Linked DNA regions of Danio rerio. The protein of the gene in region 1 interacts with the protein of each later gene in a pairwise test. Links are inferred from orthologs where the notes say so. Each region holds a gene or a part of one and is shown on either strand. Other genes may lie near its edges.

Region 1 (4,333 bases):
AGCCGTGAAGCAGCTGCCCGCAGAAACGGCTGTAGCGATGATATCGCAGAGGCTTTCCCACATGGGCAAACATGTGCTCCTGCAGCTGGCTTTTCTGAGAGAAACGGAGGTTGCAGACAGCACAGGCCATCTTTCTCTTTCGCGTGAAGGCTGCCAATGGGCTAGCGCTCCTCCCAGTCCCACCACCTCGCCTGAGTTCAACAGCCAGCTCATCAGCCAGGGCTTGACTCTGCCGTAGAGCCTCCTCCAGACTACCAGAGTCTATAGGCTCCTTAAGAGGCCGCCTTTCCTCCAAGGATGCGTGTTCCCCGCTTTTGTCCTCTGACGGGCCTTCCATCAGTGTGCTAGACTCGAGGGCGCAGGCTGCGTGGGTAAAAAGGTGCTCTTGTAAGCCTTCAGGTGACAAACAGCGTTCCCCACATCGAGGGCACAAAAGTGCCAGAGGGCCATCTCTGAATAGACCCGCTTGACAGGGGCTCACCTGGGCTGGGGAAAGAGCTGAAGACTCTTTGTCTCCTTCCTGTTGTTCTTCCTCTTCTACCCGTTCCTGTTTGATCCGTGCAGAAATGTCAGAGTCGTCCCCCGAGGCCACCGAAGACGCGGCATGAAAGCTTTGAGGGTGTTGCTCAGATGCAATGCCCTCCAGCCCTACAGCGAGTGCTAAACGGCCATGTGTGCGATCGGCCCGTGTGCTGGAACGCCCGTCCTCAGGGTCCCGTGAGCCACCAGCCTTCAGGCCCGAGTTTTCTTTGTTGGCCAGCTGGGAAGAGATCTGGATGCCATACAGATTGGACATACGGATGGCATCAGAGGATGCATCAGGACCACTCTCGCCTGCTTTACGGCAGAGCTGGTACGCATGGAGGAACTTGATGCCTTCCTGAAGTCTGCCCTGGTCTACAGGTTGTTTAGGACCCATACCTGTGTACATGATGTGTAGCAGATAGCTGAAGACATCAGGTTGAATATCTGTGGGCTGGATCTTGATGCACTCACTAAGAATAAGAGAAAAGTCATTTAAAATAGAGTTAACAATTTATTTTCCTTTAAATGATGGTTAATAATTATCATTTGGTCAGATGGGTTCTATTAACATGCAAAGAATGCTTTTTCTATCAGTCATTTTGCATACAGTGGCGATCACATTGTTTGGTCAGGCCTGTAGCCAGGGAGGGTTTGGGTGGTTCCAAAGATCCACCTTCCACTGACAAAGGTGTAGAATTTGTCCCATACATTTTTTGAAAATGTTACAAATTTTGAAAATAACCCATAAAAGGCTTTAAGAGCAAGCGGAATCTGACATAAGTGACGTCATCTTTCACTACTGACCTACTATATTGCTAATTAAAGAAAACATTTTACAAGGAACTTTTATTCTAAATTATTGAACTTTATTCTTGAAAGAAAGAAATCACCTATAAATAAGTGTGAAGCACCAAAGGCGGACCGTAATACAGTTAATTTGAATACTAATTAGGCTATTGTTGTTATCCAGGAATTTTCAAAAGTACTTTTTTACAAGAGACGCTAGAAAAATCGGCAAGCTCTACAATATTATTATTATGTTTTAATTGTTCAGTATTCAAATGGCCAAATTCTTACTGTTGAAAATTGAATGTGCTGCTCAGTTTGTTATTTGCCTTATGAATGACACAATCAGCTACAGTTTTTAATTTAAAACTTTAATAGATTAATTTTCCCCCGCCAATAATATATGTAATAAATTTGTATTTTAAAAATAAGTATTTTCTACATATTTCTTTATTCTAAATCTTTAGTACATAAATATTTTTACTACATCAAAAAGTGTGGTTATGATGACCATCCGACAAGCTAATCTAGCTAAAAATGGCAGTACTTATATACATAAATAAGTAGGAAATATAGTACATAAATAAGTCCTTACTGATAGTATATAAATAAGTAGTAAATGAAGTGAATACCTGCAAAAAGGTCCAGTTTTTTTTTTTTTTTAAATAAAAGAACCACACTTTTTACCAGCCTGGCTACGGGCCTGTTGGTACTCTCTTGCATTTGTCTTTTATGGACAACCAGCATTTTAGGGGGACTTATTAGGTTAGTTAGAAGGAAAAGTTAGTTTCCCAGTTAAATGTGGTGTGTCTAATAATTAAGTAACTTTACCACCTGGTGACATATTAATACCAATGACTAGGAAGTATCTGAAAGTGTTCTCTGATTTTAATCAGTGTTTTTTTTTCAAATATTAAAATAATATAAAAAAAATAAAATTACATGTTTTATACTGTCATTTATAAGTAACTTAAGAAATATGCTTAAATGATTATTTCATTGATAATTTCAACAGGGAATCAGCAGTGACCTCAACATTTGTGTAAACTGTAGGATGTTTTCCATTTTCAATCACCATTGTATGATCAATGACCATTCAATCCAGAACTTACACATTAGAACACTTCAAAATAAATTTGAGTTCACCTGGACTGGTGGATAAAGATCATTTTGAAGTAGTTTGAGAAGGCGGCGAGGACTGCACGATGAGCCTTGAAGTATACGTTGCCAATGGCAACAGTGCAGTCACACAGAAAGCCAAACTCCCTTTGGACGTTCAGCTGCTGCAGGAGGAACAGACTGTGGCCAGACACGTCCATCTCAACCTGTTGCACAGAACATACAAACACCGAAGACAATTGGATTCCTAGGCAGAACTTGAACAGACAACTCATGTTGTGTTACTGTAGTGCCATTTACCTTGATTAATCAATGTGATTTAATCAGCTAACGTTTCTAGTTATATAAATTATGTATCTTATATTTAATCAAATGCAAATACAATATTTTTACTTTATAAAGTCCAATTTTTCTGTCTGTTTATTTCACATCACAAATTTAAAAAATTTGCTCTCTTTTGTTCATATCAAGTACAACAACCTTGAGAAAACGTATTAATAATATTTCATGAAATATATTATTAGATTATTTATCAAGTTTTAATTGTAATTGATTTTAATATTTAAAATGTTTTTGTTTTTTTTTTGTGGAGATCCATATTTTCCTAAGTAGCCTACTTGATATGCTAGAATCAACCGATTGAGTCTCTCAGAGCCTGACTTAGTGACTGGCGACCTCTATCGATCAAAATAGCCATAACATTTTGACCATTTCTGAGACGAACCAGATGTTTACATCTGGCTAGAATTGCCCATTTTAAATAGTGAAACGCATCTGTACTTACATTCTCGCGTTACTTATACATGCTATCCGGTGATTTGCAAAGAAGTATTCTGAAGCGGTACGTTCTCCTAAATGTGTGTAGCATTGTGCAGAAGAATGGTTCATTCTATCGATTACACTTTACTTAATATGCAACGACTGGATTGCGTTTAATGTTTGCGGTTTACCTTTGCAGGCAAACCGGGATCTGACAATACCTGTCAGGGGCTCTTAAAATCATTACACAAAAAGGACATTTACAAACAGCAATTGTTCGTCGCATAGAAAAATGTCATGACTGAATGAATGGATAATACCCCCACACCGTGTAGAAGCTACTAAGCTCGTGTTTCTCTGATATTTTTGTTCTGATTACCAGCAGATCAGTCCGCGACAGAACCATAATAATTTTCACACGTCTGGTCTACACCGATCAAGTGTTGTCGAAGAGACGGTGTACGTTTTCATGCACCTTGGCCAACAAAACATGCATGAACCAAAGCACAGACACAATGCATTCACACGGTCCCAATAAAATGCATTCTTACCAACTACACGAGAGAAAGGGGGAATAATTTCGTGTTTGTTGCAGCAGGAAAATTCTCTTATGGTCTCGCGCTTCTTCCTATGCGATTGACGGCTTAGCTTGTTATCCGTCACGTGACCGTACTGTACATTAGCTGATCCAGACGAACGCATAGTGAAAACATACAAAGCAGGCGCCCGGCTTGTATTTATGTGCTCGTTTTTTGTTAATTTCTGTCTAATTGGAGCTCCGTATAGCTGCTTTAGCCTTGGCTATTGTCTCGCTGAACTAAAAGCGTGAAGTATAAAACCTTTGACGACTTGCATGGACGAAAGAGCAAGCCGGCAGTGTTTTGTAAAGGGTCTTACAGACCTGAGGGGCACACAAACAGTTTTAGATAAGTTTAAAATCAATATGCAAATTCACGTCATTATAAGGTTTCCTCAAAATGGTATTAACCATACTTAGAGACAAGTTTAACGACATTAATAATTGCAAAAAAAACATTTATGTTGATTAAAACATTTTTCACATATCCTAACAGATATGATGAAGTGTCTATATATATATATATATATATATATATATATATATATATATATATATATATATATA
Region 2 (3,830 bases), on another chromosome or scaffold:
GTTTGAGATCTATGGCTTAAAGCCTTAATTACGAAGCAAGAAACAGTTTTTTTTTTTTTGCAATGTACATACTGTTGGACAATGAATATGACAAATATCTTACATGCAGATTTGTAAATATAAAAGTGTATTTTAATGATAGCAGTATCTGTAAAGTGACAATTATAATAGGGTAATTGAGAAAGTAAGTGTAAGTATTTTAGCTTTACTTTTTAGTTGGTTACACAATGTAATGTGATTTTATATGCACATAATGTATAGCATGGCTTACATGGATACATTCACAGTATGTTTTCACAGCCTTTGATATGAGCTAAACACTGGGCAGGATGTAAATATATCAATATTTGGAAAAAATTGAGATATATACCATATATTATAGAGAGATATGATTTGTGTTTGTTATAAATGTACTGGCATGGGCCGCTATAAGTTTCTGAAGGTATGATAACCTTGGATAAAAATACCACGGTTTCTTGGTATCGTGATTACTGCTTTAAAATAAGTTATTTTTAAATGTCTGGGTAAAACAAAACAAAAATTAAACACAATTTACTTTATTTTAAGAAACATTTATATATTTTGGAACAGTAAACATGCCAGGCTAAATAGTCTAAATAAATAATTGACTTCTGCTCTCTTCACTTAATTAAAAAAACCTTATATTTACCTTAGAATCGGTATAACTGAACTTTTTAGCAGTATTAAAACCTTAAGTTTTCCAAACCGCGTAAACCTTAAAAACGGTTATCGTCCTATGCCTATAAATGAGACACTTACATAATGAACTCATTAGGTTGGCACACTGTTGTGGCTACACCTCCCAGGACAATCCACGGATTTATAACCGTCTGACCACCTGTTACAGAGGTCCCTGCTTCCTCTGATGCATCCTTAAACCCCTGGATGACCAGCGGCATGACCTTATCACGCTCCTACAACACACACAATCAGATATTGAGTCAAAACACATGCTTAATATGCGAGATAAAGGTGTCAGGTTGTGTGAAAGAATAGTGAAATTGTTCAAATGTAATAATGATAATAATACATTTTAAATGGTTAAATGCTGCTGACAAATGGGAAAAGCACAGTGGTTGGAAGGATATCAGCAAAGTTAAAGTCCCCATGAGATCAAAAAGTACTTTTTTCTTATTTCTATACTTATATAGTAGTTCTTATTATAAATGGTGTATCTGTGCTATTCATTATTTAGTAAAAATCTGTTTGCCCTAATAAACTTTAATCAATTACCAAAACCTTCCATGCACACTAGAAAAGACTTTTCTTCACGTCCTGGTCACATGGAATTCATTTAGGGCGTGCATATTAGTGGGTGCCTCTTTTCTGCTCTGAATTAGTCCATTCGTCAATCTTTTAAACAAATAAAATTGTGTATCAGCCTACATTTTTTCTAATTTCATGACCATTTCAAGTGGATTTGCTGGTCATATAATTAGAATATCTTCAAACAGTTGGTTTATTTTACTAATGCCATTCAAGAAGTGAAACTTGTATAATGTATATATTCATTCCACACAGACTGATATTGTTTCAAGCATTTATTTATTTTAATTTTGATAATTTTGATGAACAAATCAAAACCTTAAATTCAGTGTCTCAGAAAATTTGAATATTGTAAATGCGTTCATTAGACACAAGGAATGTGACAGCTGAAACCCATGTCTTGCATACGTCTGTGAGTAGTGGTTCTTGAAGCACTGACTCCAGATGCAGTCCACTCTGTGAACCTGCCCCACATTTCTGAATGGGTTTTGTTTCACAATTCTTTCCAGGGTGCAGTTATCCCGATTGCTTGTACACGTTTTATCTACTACATCTTTTCTTTCCCTTCGCCTCTCTATTAATGTGCTTGGACAGAGCTCTGTGAACAGCCAGCCTCTATTGCAATAATATTTTGTGTCTTGCCCTTCTTGTGCAAGGTGGTCATTTGGACAACTGTCAAATCAACTGTCTTGATGGAGGACAATTATAAACTTCCGTCTATAAGATGTCATCATCAAATGTTTTACCATTGTTCTAAAGGGCCTATTACTTTATAAAAAAGTATGAACTATCAACCGGGTTTTAGTCACATCAATCATTTAGATGCCCTAGACACTTGTGTATCAAATATGATACAGCAAGCTTTTAAAAACAGATACTTGTTTGCATTTTTAGGCTAGCTGCTCCTTAAAATAGCATACATTAGATGCACAAACACACTTTGCCTGTACATTTACATATCAGTTTCGCATCTCACCTTCTCTGTGAGCTTGTTGCTGACACCGAGCAGCATCAGCATGTTATCGCATTCTGTTACTCCCATGGCGTATAGGTCACTCAGCACATTGGCACAAGCAATTCTTCCCTAGAAAGCCGAGAGAATTCATAGAACATCATATTGAGCACCTAATGTGACGTATTCTCAGACTATGTTAATCTGAAGTCAGTGTTTACCATCATATATGGATCATCCACTATGGGGTAGATGTAGTCTGTGGTCTGTACAAGCGACAAGCCTCCATGTCTCAACGGGATCACGCAGGTGTCCATACCAATGCCTGTTTTAAATAAACATGAAGACAAAAAACATCAATTTGATGTTTTAGAGGTGTGTATAAAGTTTTACGTAGTCTTCAAGCTTAAATGTTTATGCAGAAATGTGTTTTTAAGGGTGACAGTCTTAAAGGAATCCTACAGGGTGACAGATAGGATTATTTCTGGAGAACTATTTACTTAATTCACCATGAAATCCGATTTAACTATTCTTCTTATTAAGGAATACTACAGTAGTTATTGCAAATTATTAATCAGTGCACATAATTATTTTTACATTTTCATGTCTTAATAATAGTTTCACCTCACATTTGCAATAGAGTGCTTACTAATGCAGGCCAAAATAACCCGTCACTAACATAATATCCACCAACAGCATCTACAATAAACCATCCAGATGGACAAAATTAAGTGAATATTTCAACAACTTTTCTTGATCAATAAGTCATTTCACTTGGCTATATTTTCATTCACTCATTCATTTTCTTTTCAGCTTAGTCCCTTTATTAATCCAGGGTCACCACAGCGGAATGAACCGCCAACTTATCCAGCACGCTTTTACACAGCGGATGCCCTTCCAGCTGCAACCCATCTCTGGGAAATTGGCTATATTTTGATTTAATTTATTTTATTCCTATTTCTGCACAAAATTGTGTAAAAGAAAATATGTAGATTTATATAGAATTCTTATTTGAGAGTAAAGAAGCTAAAAACTTAAAATTAAAAATAACAGAACCATTATTTAAAGTTTAACATCCAAATACAATCAAAACACTTATCAACAAAATAAAGAGATAATTAAAAAAAAATTTATAAATGTATGTATTTACACACATTTAGCTATGTAATGAAGAAAAAATAGAACAGGGACTACCGCAGCTTCATGCTAGTATCTACTAAATTATTAATCATTAATTAATACATTAATCAACACTTTTAGCAAATGCTCCTTGATGTCTTTAAACAGGGTTCATACATATTTTACAACTAAAATTCTATGACTTTTCCAGGACTTTAAGTACATTTTCATGATCTAATGTTTCATCCAATGTCTACATATAAATAAAAAGAAAAACAATGCACATTCAAATATATCACAGCATATTATAAAACACATAAAAATCTGCTTAGTTTGCATTTATTTTTATATCTATGTCAAATTTATTTTAAAAATGCTTATACAGCACTAATAATGTAAGAGCATGTGTAAACAGAACAGAAAAGAAGTAAAGACAGCTGACCTAAATTCAAGTATACAGATAATTGTTAAA

The links.
Region 2: the proteins of zbtb25 (region 1) and sephs1 interact in binary tests that used the Homo sapiens proteins (3 or more experiments, as listed by UniProt). The two-hybrid records come from large-scale screens. The link is inferred for Danio rerio from reciprocal best matches to the Homo sapiens genes ZBTB25 and SEPHS1.

The regions. Positions count from the first base shown.
Region 1 is NC_133195.1:30,436,693-30,441,025, forward strand, and holds the start of zbtb25 (zinc finger and BTB domain-containing protein 25), read right to left. Parts: upstream 2,863-4,333; 5' UTR 2,706-2,862; coding exon 2,458-2,705; intron 996-2,457; coding exon 1-995. UniProt on the Homo sapiens protein: May be involved in transcriptional regulation.
Region 2 is NC_133193.1:9,553,874-9,557,703, forward strand, and holds part of sephs1 (selenide, water dikinase 1), read right to left. Parts: intron 2,565-3,830; coding exon 2,461-2,564; intron 2,372-2,460; coding exon 2,264-2,371; intron 936-2,263; coding exon 781-935; intron 1-780. UniProt on the Homo sapiens protein: Synthesizes selenophosphate from selenide and ATP.